Coturnix japonica: one gene and its partners. The protein of the gene in region 2 purifies or fractionates together with the protein of the main gene of each other region. This does not show direct contact. Links are inferred from orthologs where the notes say so. Each region holds a gene or a part of one and is shown on either strand. Other genes may lie near its edges.

What was found.
Region 1: the proteins of CAPZB (region 2) and SVIL purify together in Homo sapiens (co-immunoprecipitation; 3 studies listed by BioGRID and IntAct, with this or other methods). This does not show direct contact. The link is inferred for Coturnix japonica from reciprocal best matches to the Homo sapiens genes CAPZB and SVIL.
Region 3: the proteins of CAPZB (region 2) and CNOT7 purify together in Homo sapiens (co-immunoprecipitation; 3 studies listed by BioGRID and IntAct, with this or other methods). This does not show direct contact. The link is inferred for Coturnix japonica from reciprocal best matches to the Homo sapiens genes CAPZB and CNOT7.

The regions. Positions count from the first base shown.
Region 1 is NC_029517.1:13,367,243-13,372,924, forward strand, and holds the start of SVIL (supervillin), read right to left. Parts: upstream 3,922-5,682; 5' UTR 3,875-3,921; coding exon 3,802-3,874; intron 1,189-3,801; exon of another isoform or gene 730-1,188; coding exon of another isoform or gene 729-729; intron 1-728.
Region 2 is NC_029536.1:4,121,783-4,127,462, reverse strand, and holds the start of CAPZB (F-actin-capping protein subunit beta), read left to right. Parts: upstream 1-2,066; 5' UTR 2,067-2,197; coding exon 2,198-2,200; intron 2,201-5,680. UniProt on the Homo sapiens protein: F-actin-capping proteins bind in a Ca(2+)-independent manner to the fast growing ends of actin filaments (barbed end) thereby blocking the exchange of subunits at these ends.
Region 3 is NC_029519.1:56,944,018-56,949,204, reverse strand, and holds part of CNOT7 (CCR4-NOT transcription complex subunit 7), read right to left. Parts: intron 3,088-5,187; coding exon 2,943-3,087; intron 1-2,942. UniProt on the Homo sapiens protein: Has 3'-5' poly(A) exoribonuclease activity for synthetic poly(A) RNA substrate. Its function seems to be partially redundant with that of CNOT8.

The DNA of each region.
Region 1 (5,682 bases), on a different chromosome or scaffold from region 2:
TAGAGCTATGTCTAAAACTTATTTCCTTGGTAAAGAGAAAATTGTTACATTTCTGAATACCAAAATATAACACCTGGAACACCCTTGAGGTGAGGAACCTCCTCTTCCCCCCAGCCCTCACTGTGCTCCCCAATAGCAGCTGATCTGCAGCACAAGTGGATAGAAAGGCAGTGCCAGTAACTTTCACCTGTTGTGTCCTAGTAACATTTAAAAATAAGGGAATGGAAAGTTGGAGGAAGCTTTCTTCAGAATACTCCAGGTGTCACTGCACAACAGTTACCTAACGCAACAGGATCCTCTGTGTATACAGAATCTCTCAGACAAGATAGCTACTGAAAAATGTTGTTTTTAAGAGAGTTCTTAGAGTTGCTTGTAGCTGTGCCTAAGGTTAATGCATTAAAACTAAAAAAGATTCACCTCACACACGAACCAACCAGCAATGGGACCTTCCATTCATAGCAGAATGAACTCATCCTCCAAACAAAACCACAAGAATAAAAACACAAAATGCCTTAAGGACGGCTGAATGAGTGGCATGCACAGGCTGGAATAAACCCACTTGCATTTCAACCTGATGAAGCCTCAGACAACTGGCCCACGCGGCCACACGCACGCTCAGCGAAGGACATACGACTTACTTCAGAATCCCGCAAAAACCCCTTTTGCAAAGGAGGAAAGAAAGAAGGTACAGACGCAGCAGAAGGGGTCAGACTTCTCAAAATACTTACTGATAACTCTTGCAGTGTTCGTGAGCCAAGAATTTCATGATTCTTGTTTTAGAGAAGTTTCTCCCTTCAGCTAAGGTTCCTTTCCAAAGGACTAATGCTCACCGCTAATAAAACGGAAAAGTGACTTCACAAAGTTACCAGATATCAACATGCAAGGCTGGCGAGTACATGTGCAGTCAAGATGATTCAGATAAGTCAGATAAATTTAGAACAACGCTTTCCTAAAAGCACGCGTTCACCAAATGCAGTGCACACGCAGGAGCTATATTCCAAGCGCTGATTCCAAACATCAGAACAAAAAATTTATTAGTGAAAATCTCCTTTTAAGAGTTCGCTGCCATCTGAAGTCCTCGACAATGTTACTCCTCGATCTGCCTTTAGTACTTCCATCCATCACTGGATTTATCCACATAAAAAGCTATAGGCTCTCCAACCTCGGAGGACTAAGCCAAATGCAGTGTGGCAACTTCGCATAGGACCGGCCTTTTATGGTTGGAACAGTAGAGCTTTGATACAGCTAATCTACCATAAATAGCTCTTGAAACTCAGAAGGATCAAATCAGCTGTTGCAACAGTCCCAGCCTGTAGCTGCTTCAAATCCAATTATACTGTCAGCTCTGTCTTGCAGCTTTCCTTTTTATTCCCCCCATCCACAACTTTTAAAGTCCCGCTCCTACAAGAAATTAAATGCTGCAGGGACAAACGTGACAGAATAAAACATGTTTCATAAAAACAGAAACAAACCAGCATGTATTTTTATAGTCCTCTTAAGGAGAAAAGGTTTTGCTGTATTAGAAACATCTTCAGCATTTATTGCCAGTAATTTTTTTAAATCAGCCCCAACTCGTAATGCAAACATACAGTCTGAAGTAAGCAAACAGTACCAAGAACAGTCGGCTCAGCCTTAAAGGTGGGTAAAAATAAGCAGATAAAACTTCATGGCGCCCTATCCATGGCCCAGATTAAGGTACTGAATTGCTTGCATATTTTTATCGTAACTTAAACACAACTGCAAAGCACCAGAAGTCACTGCTAAACCCTTATGTTACAGTGTTTCCTTTCTAGTATTTTGAACCATTTTCCCACCAAGAAGCTCAGGACTATAATTTCAGAACTCTTCAACACCTGGGTGCTTCCAAAATGAGTTCTTGCTAACAATGTAAGTCAAGAGAACCATGAAAAGCACCCCGAGGGCTGCCAGAGCCCTGCGACCCCGAGCACTCGGTGCAGTGGCACTGTGCTGAAAGGAGACACCCTTTGGATCCGGGGGAGGGCAGATGAGCAGTGTTATCTTTATGGTTCACTTCACGGTGCAAAGCAGCAGCACACAAGTACGTAAGGATACATAAACAACAGATGTATTTTTAAGTTTCCATGTACATGTTGTTTAGAAGAAGATGGTTTCAAGAATGCAGCATGCTGCTTGTGCTTATTTGTCTGGNCCTCAGTCTTTCCAAAACAAAGAGTTAAATTACTCCAGTACAGTGCAGGAACTCCAGGACTCCGAAGGAGATGATGTACCCTGTTCACAAAGTCTGAATCTGTTATTTGCTGGGACCTCTTTCAACCTGCACATTGCCTCCTGTAATAGCAGGAGCAACGTCTAGCACCGACATTGGTTCTTCTTGCTCAAGGCAGAGAGAAGAGCATTACTAACTCCCAGTGCTCAAACTGCTTTAGGAAGGGCCAGAAATATGGATCCTCTAGAAGCTAATCAAAGTGACCAAATAAAACATAAAAAATAGGTCCATCGTGGAAAAGTCTGTACCCCTTTGTCAGCTATATGCTACCTCACTCCTCACTGAGTTTCTGTTTATCGTATTATCTCAATTAAAGGGCTTGGGCTTTGCAAAGTATGCAACATACATCGAAGACAGGAGTCACTGCCTTCAATACTGTCTGCAGTGACAGTGGATGACAAAGTAACTTCAATTAAGTGTGAGTGGGTTAAATGAAGAGGTTTGTTGTTTCCTTCAAACAGTGCATGGAGAGCCCAGCTTTGTCACTTTGAGCAAGTCTCAGAAAAGTCAGTTGGATGTGGGCGCAGTTTCCCTTTAGGCCCTAGCAAGTGCCCAAACAAATTAATTCAGACGTACAGGGGACAGAGAGCTTTTCATTAGCATGGACTAAACTGAGCATGTGACAAGTAGATTGAACAGACCTGCAAGATGTGCCTGAATAAGTTCATCACTCTGAATGCTGCCTGTAGGACTTGTCACATTGTGCTGCTTCTGCACACTGCTGGAAAAGTAGCTGAACCAATTGCTGACAAAAGTTCAACAGAGCTCTTAGAATGCAGCAAGCATGCTTGCAACTGGTAAGAGAAAGAGCAATCGTCAGCACACTGCCAGAACACAAGTGCTGGCACTTTATGCCCTACCCATAACCATTTAACATCTTAGAACCTTTTTTTGCTGAGGAATTTAAAGGATGCGAGCTATGATATGGAAACACAGCCCCCTCCTCAAGGAGGACAACTGGGATTCCTTGTTTCTTTTAGACATACCACCCTATATCTTACTGCTGGCATTCATCCTCCCTATCACACAGGGTATTATGTTAAAGATTTCACTTCCATGGTAAATTAAAAAATAATAATAAAAATCCTGCATGTGCTCTTTTCACACATATTTCCTGAGCTATAAACATACAAAACAGAACTGATCGTCATGAGAATGCAGCACTTTCTTCCCCTTCCTCCCCAGCACAAGATTTCTGTAAGCACAAAGTAAAACAAGCTACTGACAGCACATTAGTTTGTCTCTAGCTCTTTACAGAAAGTGTAAAATCTGACTTGTATCATACAAAAATGATACTACTCCACAGGCCACAATGAAGACAGATGGAGGAGTGAATAAACACAACTTTGGTACCATGGTCTTGGGGTTATGTGCTTCTGTGACTAACAGTCAAGAAAAACCACACAGTAGAGTGCACACAGCTTAAAGTAGGCACGTCTTTATTTAACATTCAGCTTCCTAATTTACAACTGTCTTTTTTGCAGCTGGGGACAAGAGGGAAAGGCGAGATTTCCCAGAAAAATCAAAGACAAATTTAATAACAAGTGACTTACCAGCATCCATTGTTAGAATCATGACCCCACTTCTGCGTCCCAGGAAGCAGGAAGCCTTACCCATCCAGTGCATGCGAATGACTCAGAAGGACTGCATGGCTTTGTTTCAGCTTATATCTTCCAGCTCATTCACCCCTCCTCCCCCGTGTGGGATAAAAGTGATGCCTGTGCCTGACCACCCCCATTGGCTCAGTTCAGAAGCCACTCATTCAGCACATTCAAATTGCCGTGAGAGCCTAAAATGACCCACTGAGAAATTCTTATTTATCTTTTTTCAACCCAACCCACTTTTTGTTCCTCTGAGAGAACAAGCCATTCATTGTTTCACTATCAGACACATGCCGCAGTTGGCGTGATTGTCACGGGGCCAAACAAGTGCCTGTGCTCTGAACTGGGAGCGGTGGGCAGCAGAAAGGCATCCCCCAGCCCCAGTTCCATGGCTGTGGAAATAAGGACATACGTTTTATGCCACAGCCTGTGCCCTCCAGGCAGTTTCTCTTCAATGCAAACTACATACACCCGCAGTCTGAGGATCCCTGGTTTGCCAGGGAGGATTTACTCATCCATTTTATTTTTAAATAGGAGGATAGCTGTCTTACCAAAGGTGCACACCCAAACTCTATAGGTTAAACTCTGCAGTAAGGAAAGAGTTTTTTATGTTTGTTTTTTGTGTTTTTTTTGTTTGTTTGATTGTTTGTTTTTTAATCTGTAGGGCTTCTTAAATATAATAGCTGGTATGAGCTCAGCTCTGCCCAAAGAATTTAGAAAGCTGTTACAATCTATCTGTTAACCACCACCCCAGTTAGATAATATAGTCTTAAAAAAAAACAAACCATAACACAACATAAATGCAACTCTATCTGATTAAGAGACATCTCCTTCCTTTGTTAACTTTGATTGTACAATAAGAGAGACTAAAAAACACACACGGAAGGAGAGAAAGTGGAGGACATTTGTCTCTATGCCACACAATCCTCAAGAACTTACTGTGCAGCTGTGAAAGGCGAGTTCCTGCATCTCACAGTATGAGGTGTTGACAGACACGGTATCTGCACTTAGAGATTCAACAAACACAGTGAATGAAACACTGGTGTTCTTCATCTTTTGATAAGAACTACGTTTTCCAAATAAAGCATGGACATATTAGGCTGCCATTTCATCACGCTGCTCACCACTAGATAACCTCAGATTCATAACTATGATACAACCACAAGTGTATTTTGGAAGTGTTGCTTGTGCTTGTTGAAATAAACACAGCTCCCTCTCCTCCCCTCCTGTTTTTAGAACAGGTATCAGTTGCAAGTCTCACACACTAATGTTTGCAAGGCAGCAGTGAATTTAGAATCCACAGTTCAAAGGAATTAGCAAAAGCACAATAATTGAGTCATCACTTCCCACATTTCTTGACCTTCCCTTGCTCTGCACAGCTCCACACCAACAGTCTGGGGGAAACAAAATACTCCTAAACATGAAGATTTCTGATGTTTTCAGGGGTACACTGCAAGAAAAGTTTTGAAAAGAGACATGGGTAATCCAGATCATAGAAAACAAGCCCTAAACCTTTGCTTCTTGATCTCTATTCACTGAATTTCTCAGGTAGACAGACTGCTCCCCAAAAACATTCTACGGGTTTCTGTTTTCAGAAGGAATGTTTGAGTAGCAAAACAGTGGTTCCATCCAAAGTTCACAGCTCTCAAATTGTTCTTTTGTTGACCATAATCAATAACCAAGGACATGTGGCAACAATCCGTGCCACGTGCAGAGATGCATGCTGAACTTCTGGGAATGGCATAAGGCATAGCTTCCTTTCTTACCTATAATGATTACTTTGAAGAGGGGTGCAGCAGTGTGGAAGATGCTTTTGCACTTTCCACCTACTCC
Region 2 (5,680 bases):
TGCTCCTGGAAGGGGTGGAGCTCGACTCCACCTCCTCTAGACCTCATTTAAGGGCTGACCACCACTAAGGCAGCATCTCTTGGGGATTGCTGCCTGGTGGAGATTGCTTCAGTATTTCCTATTGAAGGCAACCATGTTGGTGAGTTTTCCTTATAAATAACAGTAAATTCAATTTATGACAACACCTAATAAAAAGTTTACATATCTTTCAAGTGCCTCAAGCTGGACTTGAAAGTAAATGTTCAATCTGACTGAACAAAAAAGAAAAAGAAGCCTAAGATGTCTATTTCTTTAGTGGATAAATGAGTATTCAGTGAGGCATTAAAGCTTTCTGTAGGACCTGGGTTCTAAGCTTGTTCTCATTTACTCTTTGGTCCTGGCTTAATGCTGGAATAAGGAAAATAAACAGTGTTTCACAACACGTGCAAGGAGGATAAAATAAAAAGCATATCATGTTTTAAGGAGTTCTGGCTAAACGTGACAGTGCTAAAAAAGAGTATTTATCCTTTTGTTTCTTTGAATATAATCAAAAGTACAGGGAGAGCATATGTATTTTATAGTCGCTGATGAAAAGATGGAAAGCTTTGTTATTAATTACACGTGAATCTGATGTTGTAGAGCTGTTAAGCCACCAAGTAACATAATTGTTTGCTTCCTTTGCTTACAGGCCCTCGTTCTAAGATGCATAATTCCTGCTGCTGAGCCTTTTGAGTGCACTCCTGGCTGTAGGTGAATGACTCCATGCTGGGAGCTGTGGGACATGCCTGGAGTTCAACTCACAGCACCCAGATCTACTGAATATCTCCCACTCAGAGCCTGAATTAACTTTGTTTTATATCAGCCCCTCCAAGAGCTACAACAGAAGGTAGGATGGCCAGAACTGTAGCTCCACGCAGGGAGCTTTCAACCAGCTGAGATCTCCACGCTGCAAATTGCAGCTTGCCAGGAAGAGCTTGCTCCTACATCTTCATAAACAAACAAAAGCATTCCCTGCTATAAACAAGCAAAGCAAGCAGCTGGTCCTCATTGGAAAAGACGTTACATCCATTTCACAAAGGAATCCGCAGATCTTCTTCTTCATGCAAATATTTTGGGGCAAACAAAAAGCAGCTGTTTCTGTTGCTTTATACCTATTAGCAGGGAAACAAAATCCAGGATGCTTGTATTTCTTGTAAGGAAAACATCCTCTTGGCATCGATGTTCGTTCAGATCTCAAACTGTTTAACACAGGCTGCATGAATCTGCTTTTGCTTTGTGTTCAGCAAGAGGGTAGAAACCTTTTTTGCTCATTAAGACCTAAAAGCAAAACAGCCGTTGAGGAGCTTGCATGGGTTTATAACAAAGGTTGTGAAGTTTAGAATGTATGTTTTATCTGCTCTGTGCTCCCAGCTCATGTTAATGTGCGGAACGCTGTTAAAGAAAGGAATAATGTATTGGAGTGATGAAGGCAGCCTTTAATTACTGCTGGTAGGGACCTCTGGAAGGATTGAGGGCTGGATAATAGAAGGTGCTTGTATTGCTTGAGCTGGCATCTCTTGGAAGGTTCTGCCTGGTATCTGAGAGCTACTAAAACTGAACTAAAACCCATCTGTGATAATGGCTGAGTGGAAAATAAGAGCTTGGCCTTGGATGTCACCCGCCGGGTGGATGTACCACAAAATGTCACCTCCCAGGAAAAAATGAAGCCGTTCCCTTAGAGAACGCATCAGTTCTATTACAAATGCACACAGTAATGCCGTGCTTTCACAGCATTGCATCACAGCAGGAAGCGATACATGACTGCCCTTAACAGCATTTCCAGTTTCTACAGCAAACCAAGGAAAGCAAAGTACAACCACCACCACAGCGGCGCGCCGGCGCGCTCCGGTAGGCTCCGCCCCCTGCACCTGATTGGCTGCACTTCTTCCGGTCTCCCCCCATTGGCTGCTTGGCGCTGCTCCCCCCGCCCCTCCCGCGCTTCTCTCCCGCCCCGTCCGCGCGCAGCGCTCCATACTTGGCGATGGCCGGCGAGCCGCGCTCTGATTGGTTGAGCTGTGAGGTGAGGGCGGGGCCGGCGGGGCGATGACCCGGATGTTCACTCCTAGGCAACGGCGGAAGTGGAAGGGCCGCGGCCTGCCTCGGAACGAGGGAGAGCGGAGCGGAGCGGACCGGGAGGCGCCGCCGTTGCCACCGCCCAGCGCAGCCCCGCCGAGCCGCCATGGTGAGCACCGTGCGGGATCCGCCGCTTCCAGCCCCGCAGCTGGGCCCTATCGCTTCCTTTTCCCTCCCACGGGGCGGCGGTGAGGGAGGCCCCGGCTGCGGCCTGCACCGGGGGGAGGCGGTGGGGGCAGGGCCCGCGGGGGGCGGTGGGGCAGGGCCTGGGGTAACGCAGGGTCTGGCGGCTCGAACGGAGCCGGGACTGGCGGCCGGAGCGCTGCCTCCAGCCCCGCGTCGCACCGCAGCTGTGCGGAACCAGGAACCGGCGGCGTGCGGGGCGGCCGAGCCTGCCCGGGCAGACACCGCTGCGGTGTGTGCGGCTCACACGATGAGGGTTGGAGTGTCTGGCTTCTGCAGCCGTGTAGCGCAGCCTGGCCGCGATGTGCTGGGGGGTGAGTGCACACAGAATGACCCGGGTTGGAAGGGTCCTCAAGGATCATGTAGTTCCAACCCCCCTGCCTGGCAGGGCCACCAAACATACACCTTTACTAGATCAGGTTGCCCAGGGCCCCGTCCAACCTGGTCTTGAACACCTCCAAGGACGGGGCATCCACAACCTCCCTGGGCAGCCTGTTCCAGGGCCTAACCACTCTCCTAGTGAAGAACTTCCCCCTAACATCCAACCTAAATCTTCCCTCTTTTAACTCAAGTTCACCCAAGGGACAAAACCTTCGGTTTCCCTTTGGTGCTGTGCGTGGAGGGGGTGCAGCCCCTGGGGTCTCATCTCCTATGGGCTCACCCAGCACCTAAGGGTGGAGATGTCTTGCTGTGCCCAGCCTGCCTGGCGGGGTGCCCACTGAGCCCCTGTAATACAGCGTACCTGGAGGGCTGTAATTGCTCCAGTGCTTGGTACTGCTCAGGAATTTGTGGTTTGATGTTTTTTAGGACTGTTCAAATATAGTTAGGTTCAAAATGTACCTGGTTACATGTAAAGACTGGTTTAGTAATCAATCCTTTGCTTCAACTGTAAGAATTTCAGAGGCAATATCTTATCCTTTCCTCTGGAGGCTGAAGGTCCTGGTGGTCCCAATGCTTATATGGCACAGGATGAAGATGTTTGATTTCTAGTGGAAGGTGAAGAAAGCTTATGATCAAGATTCTGTGCCTGTTGGAACAAAGCTGTGCTTGGCACCCAAGCGTGGGATTGGCGTGATGGAGCATCTAACTTCACATGTGAATGTTAGACCAAGAGCCCTGGCTGAAGTCTTTGTACACAAGACCTGCTGCAGGATTTATTAGACAGGAGGCCAACCAACTGTCCTAACTTAAAAATCCTCACAGAGAAAGAACTGAAGGAAAACAAGCAGGCTTCATGTAAAACGACAGTGGTGTTACCTGCTGCTTTTAAGGGAATGCAGAAGTATGCTGTAAGAATGATTCAGTTGAGGTGTGTGACTTCGTTACTCCTTAGGGGAGATAGAGCACAAGCCCTTTAGGAGTTTTTTGAGTGCTGTAAGCTTTTGCTGTCTTCTGATTTCTCATGTTTAGTCATGGAAAGCATTGGGTACAGGAGAAACCTGACCAGGATCTCCAGTACTGTGCTAGGCTCAGCTGTTGGGTGGACTTCAGGTAGGAACCTGTGGCAGCTGCCCCGTTATTTGTGTGTTGTGGTGGCTGTGTACACACCCGAAGGTTTGTTCACTGAGTGGGGCAAGTGGAGTGTGGTTTATGCAGGCCTACTGCAAGAAAGGTCACTGGGCTTGGTTACAGGAGACAAATGAGCTGTGGTGATGTGTTAATAAAGCCTTGCTCTTAGAATCAGCATTATGCAGACAATGCAATTCTGGCACCCAGTTTCAACTTTAGTTCCCTTCTGGTTTTTAGAGTATCCCCAGGATCTATTGCTTTTGTAGACAATACTCAAATGTAGCATGAAGGAACTAAAATAGGTCTGGCACTGACAGCTGCTGTTTTATGTGGTTCATACCAAAGCAATGTAAGATTTGTGAAACTAAACACTTTTTCATCTCCCTGAATTCTGAGTCTCTGATTGTGATTGTGTCACTCTTGAAACTCATGGCATCAGCTCAGGGAAAGTTTTCAGTGCCCACAGCACATCCTTTAGTCCTTGTACCATCTAAGAAATCCTCGTTCGTGTTATTTTGTAGAGTCCATGTTTTGTTAGCCACGTATGTGAGCTTAGATAAATGCTGTCTTAAAAGCCAAGTTCTCCAAGTAAATCAAATTGGCGGGTATTGCTGGGATAGGGAATACTGTCATTGCAGTGATGATAAATCTTTGGCTTGAGAATATTTGAACCACAAGATCTTCAGATGGGATTTCCTCATATGGTAAATATATGTGCTGATATCTTATTAGTTAACATCTGGGAATAAACCGGAATGAAAGCACAGTTTAACTCTTTTGAATTACTATTTTTAGTGCTTATTACATTAGTAGCTCAATGATTCTCTTTGGGAAAGATATGTTCTGCATTAATCAGCTGGACTTCTCTGTTGAGTTTCCCATGCAAAGGATGGCTGATGAGCTGCAGGCTGTGCATGGAGCGTTCTCCTGCCTGCCCTTTGGAGGTATGTTTGGTCACATCCAAATGGTTCCTCACTCTAATTCACACTGTAGAGCTGTCACTCAGACACTGTGCATTGTAATTTCTTTCCAATTGATTTATGTAAGGAGCTCTGAAGAGTTTGCAGTGCCCCTCCAAACCTTTGTCTCTCTTCCCCTGGTGCACAGGGTCCAAAGCAATTGCCTCCAATGTGCCCATTTTTCCTGATCCTTTGCCATTTCCAGCAAGGAAGAGGGAAAATTGCACTTAAAACCATGTGTGTGAAGGAGCAATGAATGTCTGGGCTTTATAAACCTTTTCCCACCTCCCTGGTCCATCTAGCTGTGCTGTGATGCAGGGTTTGCTTGCTGGTAGGTTATGTTTGTTTATTTATTACAAAGCTTTTCTAACTTGAACAGGAATTCAAGACTGAATGCTGGTCAAGCAGGTTTTAAAGATGTCTCCCTGCTGTTTGAGCTGAGAGGTTTTATTATGAGGAGAAAATGGAGAATGCTTGAGGAAGCTGCTCTGCTTGTTTCCTAATTATAAAGTTGTAATTTTCCGCAATGGATGCTGTCGGGGTAGTGCCAAATGGAGTGGCAACACAATCCTTCTGGCCGTTTAGATGGAATAAATCTCCTAAGTTCAAGAATCAGAAATAGGATCTGTTTCCTATCTGTGGTTGTCTAAAATAGGCTTTTATTTAGAATTACTTTAATTGCATTAGGTAATACCTGGTGCTTGGTTTCCTAGAATGGTGGTATCAAAGCATCAGACTTCCTTGTATTATTTGGTTCTCTTCTTTGGCCCCACTCTCCTTTAGGATTTAGAGTGGAAGTGTGCAGTGTGCTGTGAGCTTGTGCTCTATGTGCTGCCTCATCCGAGCTGGGCTGAAGCATTACAGAATACATCTGTAGGCACTTGACTTATCTGGCTGCCCTTCCCATAAATTACCTGCTTTATTCCTAATGAATGCAA
Region 3 (5,187 bases), on a different chromosome or scaffold from region 2:
AGGAAACAATAAGAGGTAAAAGTATAACAGTCAGTGTTAGAATTGATACACTAACAGAAATCTGACCAAGAGGTCAGACCTAACATTATGAAAATTTCTATGAATCTAAATGCAACACATCTTAAAAACAAATCTCCAGTAATAACATTCCCAAGTAACACCAAGCAAACCAACACGGTACTGGCATGTCTAGCTTTATTCTAGCTTGAACAGGTGAGTATCACTTGCTTAAATTTGAGAATTACCCTATATGTAGTACAGTCAAGCACTGAAGTTTGTTTTCTTCCTTTGCTTAGAGATAACATTCAATCACTGCATATACACTAATTCAGTGGTTTAAGTTAGACCCTTAAGGAAGTTCAGGGATGATGGGCAGAAAATCAATCAGATCTCAAATAAAAGCACATTCTCTACAACCTAACTTTCCTATTGGCATTAGCAACAGCAGTTGCCTTTCCAAAGCACTATTTGCTGTTTGTAAACTCTTGACTTTCCCAAGCTGACACTTAACATCGCCTCATCATTACGTAGTGCTAGCTGTTAGGCTATCTATACCAGCTTCACTTAGCACCTGATATCACAAATCAGTACTATTTACACAGTGGCTGCAAAATTTATAGGAACAGCAGCAAAGCAAAGAAGGCTTTGAAAATAACCCTTCCAATACATATAGTCACCAGTAGATACATTTGTAAACATATCATTACAATTGCCTCCAAAGATTATTAGGCTACTGAAATTTTATTACAGGAAAGACTTCACGCTCTACATAAGAATATTTAACTTGTGGGGAAGAAAGGCAGTAGAAAGGGATTCAGAAGAAAATGAAAGAACAGCCTATAAATCTACTTTAGAACTGCTATTACTGCAAAAACTGTATGGAGTTGCCTGCATGAAAAGATTTTTAGACCCCAAGCAGGAATTTAACCTGTACTACACAAGTACCTCGAGTTAGTCACAGTCTGCCTGCTGTGTAGTACACTGATGTCCATTTTTGTTAGAGTAGCATACTGTGGATTCATTGTAAGAGCAGCAAACAGTTTCCACATCCTCAAACACTTGTCTTATCAATGCTAAAAATTCACTTTTGGCTATGTGAGGGCAGAGGTAGGTGGGAAGCTTAGAGTAAGTCTGTTTTTTGTATGAAAATAACTTATAAAAGTCAATAAAGGACCACTGCACAGCAGTTCAATTCTCTGCCATTTAATAGAGACCAAACATGACAATTTTTGAGTCACAATATGCAACACTTAGCAACTTTTCTTTTCAGACAGCTGCTCTCAGAACAGTACAAGTCCACAATAATTTCATTTGCTGGTGCTTAGAGTGGTAGGATAGCCCACATTCCCTCCTGTCATTACCAATCTGCAGCTAAGAAGAATAAGATTTGCTGCAGGAAAGCTCACCTACATATTAAATGCTCAAAAAGACACCTTTGTTCTTAATTTTTGCTGAAAGAAGACTCATGAAGGTTTTTCTTATCTTCCAAAATGCATTTGAATCTCTAAACAGTGCAAGTTACACACAACTGCCTTAATTAAGTGACAATATAACTCTCTCCTCCCCAAAACCACTTGGAATATCACCTATGGAACAGCACTATGGAATGCCATTTTGTTGCCTTTCCCAGGTCACTGAAGTAGATGATACATACTGTTCTTGATAAGTATATCACCACCACAAAGACAAGAGACATTTTACTTCACTCAGAAGTGAGAAAGTTTGTGGGTTTTTTTTTGTTGGTGGTGGTGCTGAATTTGCTGCCCCTAACCCTTAGGAGACTTCTGAAGCTTGATGGTTTTTTTTCCTTTCTAGCTTCTGTGAAGAAAAAACATGTCTAAAATGTTCTCTAATGTCCAGCCATTTGCCCAACTGGTTTTCCCAATAACTGGATGAAGTCCGGTAAGTATACTTTTCTTAATAACTAAAAGGGAGATCTCCATTATCAGCAATTTGGTTCACAAAAGAAATTACACATCTTTGGATGCTACTATTTAAATGACACACTAAACACCTCAAGGAAACAAAGGACTATTAACTCCATGCAGACCACTCATTCAGCATGAGGAAGTGAAATGCCTCAGGATTTAGTTGTACTACAGCCAATGCTCTTGTTTGTTTATTCACGTTCTTTTTAAGAAAGACTAAAAAAAATCAAGTTATTTTCCATATAAGCAACAAAGTCATTTATTGCTTCAGGTGAGTGGTGCACTTCATTCCCGTAGCAGTCCAGAATCTTAAAGTTCTTTAGCAAGTACAGTCGTTAACAATCCCTGTAGCATCTTTCACTTCGCTGTCTTCCCCTTCAACATACTTTGTTTCAATTCATTTTCCAGTTCAATTAAGTCTCCAAACGTCATGCCAATTAGCAGCCCTGCTGGCCTGATATGAGAGATTAGTTTCTAAAACTACTTTATTTTTTTTTCCTCTAGAAGTCACGTGCTGCTTCTGAATATACGCTGCTCTTTATCTTTCCTTATAGGGCCATCTGAAACATTCTTCACTCCATTCCTCTTCCCAAGAGACTTCCACAGCATCACCGTTGCAATTACCTTTGTGAAGACGACTGCAGCCCTTTAGTGGACTGCACAATGAGGAAATAAGAGTACGTGAAACCCAACAATTCTTATTGCTCAAGAAGTGAAGGATCTATATCCCAAACATGAGTTTATCATCTGGCAACAAAAACTGGGCATAGCTATAAATACAGTGCCAACACAATATTTTTTAACTGGTAAGTAGTTATAAAAGTTGACGTGCACTTCTGCCTGCCTCTATCAATAGCCTTTAATATTAAATATGCACCAAGTTCAAGTCCTGTTTAATGGATATAACCAGAGCAAAAGTGGAAAACCAGGATACAGAAGATAAGCTTTTAGCAGAAGGTATTCTCCCCTCCCCACAAAAAAATGTCTGGACTGAACCACTAACAGATTACTTACCTTCAGATTTTTGCAACTCTTCATGAGATACTTTACATCATAGATGACAGGGAAAAACAATCGCAGTATCTCAAAGAAGTCCAGCTCTTCTTCAGGCAAATTAGAGTTGGTCAGGATTTTGATTAGATAACCAAAGTCATATCCACTGCAAATTAACAAAAACAATACAGTCAAATAATATAAAAACACTCTTCACTTCTGACTTGAAGGCTACTAGACATTAAGAGGAAGATATTTTGCCTAGTCCAATGCAGCTTTGACTCTTACAACAGAGTAAGAATTAGTGTAAACGGCCCCACTGCAGCTTCCAGAGAAAACATTTTATTTTATCCTCAAGCGGCCACGTGAAGAAGCAAAAACATGACCTGCTATCAGATCTTCTAATCAGATCTGCAAACAAGAACTTAAACAGAAAGACACCTAGCTGATTCACCAGACTGAAAGAGAGGAACAGGCTTCCACTCTGAAATCCAAAGCAATTGTTGACTTCCACGAGTAAACACATTATGTTGGAGGTAAGTTTAATCCTCAGCAGTGATGAAGAGCAGGCTGCCATTCAGCTCTCCCAACTTAATCAGCACAAAGTTAAACAGCTAACCACTTTTAGTAGCTTGTGGACTGTGACTCATTTGGAAGGCAATGACAGAACAAGTTTGAAAAATCTGTGTGTACATACAAGGCTAGGTAGAAAAAAACTGAGGTTTTACAGTGTGCATGGTGGAGAAGAGCTTGGGAAGACTTCCTTCTCTCCATAATCCTTGACTAAAGAAAGAGGACATAGGAAGGGGGTGTGGTAGTAGAAACAGAAAGCATGAAACAGACTACTTTTACAAAGGGTTGTAAGATGAAGCAGAGGGTTTAAAGTACACGGTAAGCAGGACTGATAACTACTTATCCTTTTTCTTAGGAAGGCGGAGGTAATAAACCAGATTATTCACGATCTGATCATAAATCTGATCCTTCCTAATCCCTTGTACTTGCAGGATTGCTCACACAAATCATGCACTGAACCGGACAGGAGACTGACACGTTATCCTGCATGTTATTAGGTTAGCATTGAATTAAACAGGTTCCTAGATTTTGTTGGGTGTCCTGTGCTCACATGGGACAGAGTTGGTTGTCTTCATAGCACCTGGTATGATGCTATGCTGCCACTTTAGAAGAAAAGCTACATTGATTATGACTGACGGCTTAGTTGCTGCTGAGCAGTGCTGTACAGCATCAAGGACATTTCAGTTTCCCAGCTTCTCACACTGTCCTGTTAGCAAGGGGGACTGCAAGGGCACAAGGAGCTGAGAGGGGACAGAACCAGGACAGCTGACCTAAACTAGCCAAAGGGATTCCCCACACCACATGACATCACATGAAAGCCATTAAATTGAGGGCAGTTGCTCAGGGGGAACCGGTTAGATATCTATCAGTGGGTGGTGAGCAACTGCATCACGCATCACTTGTTTTGTGTGTATGCATAACTAAGATTACTGTTATTTCTCTCTTCCTTTTCTGTTTTAGATGAGAGTTTTTTTTTATCTCCACCCACAAGCTCTACTTTGTTGGTGCTTTGTTGTTGCTTTTCTTCCCCCTCCAATTCTCATCCCATCGAGGTGGGGGTAAAAACAAGTGAAAGGCTGTGCGTGGTGCTGAGCTGCCTGCTGGGTTAAACCACAACAGCTGGTAATCAACTTCAAAAATGACTGTACCAGCAGGACTGCTCAACTGAAGGCTGTCAGCTTATACTGTTTAAGGAGCATTCACAACACATTCACAGTCTAATTCAAGTGAAGGGGTGGCCACCCAGACATGAATTCTCAGTTTCCATGATGTCCATTCCTGGTTGCGTGAGTATCACACCCTAAAAGAATTTTGCAACAAGGTCCAAATTCTTGACTGGGGTCTTTCAGCATTAGCTGTGAGGTGAGTAATACATGACAATACAATTAATTATAACAGTTACCCTCTACAGCTACATGAAAGGAAGTCACAGGAAGAGAGGGGGTCAGCTTCTTCTCCCAGGTGATAGGATGAGAGGGAAAGGCCTCAAATTGCACGAGGGGAGGTTCTGTTTGGATATTGGTGTAGGTGGACATTTGGACTAGATGATCTTAAGAGATGTTTTCCAACCCTAGTGATTCTATCATTCTATAAACAAATCAGATAAGAGCACTGTACTACAGATCCTGCAGATACTTAGCATCAACTTAGACTGGTGATTGCTGATGAAGGCTTAAAGCTTTAGCTTACATAC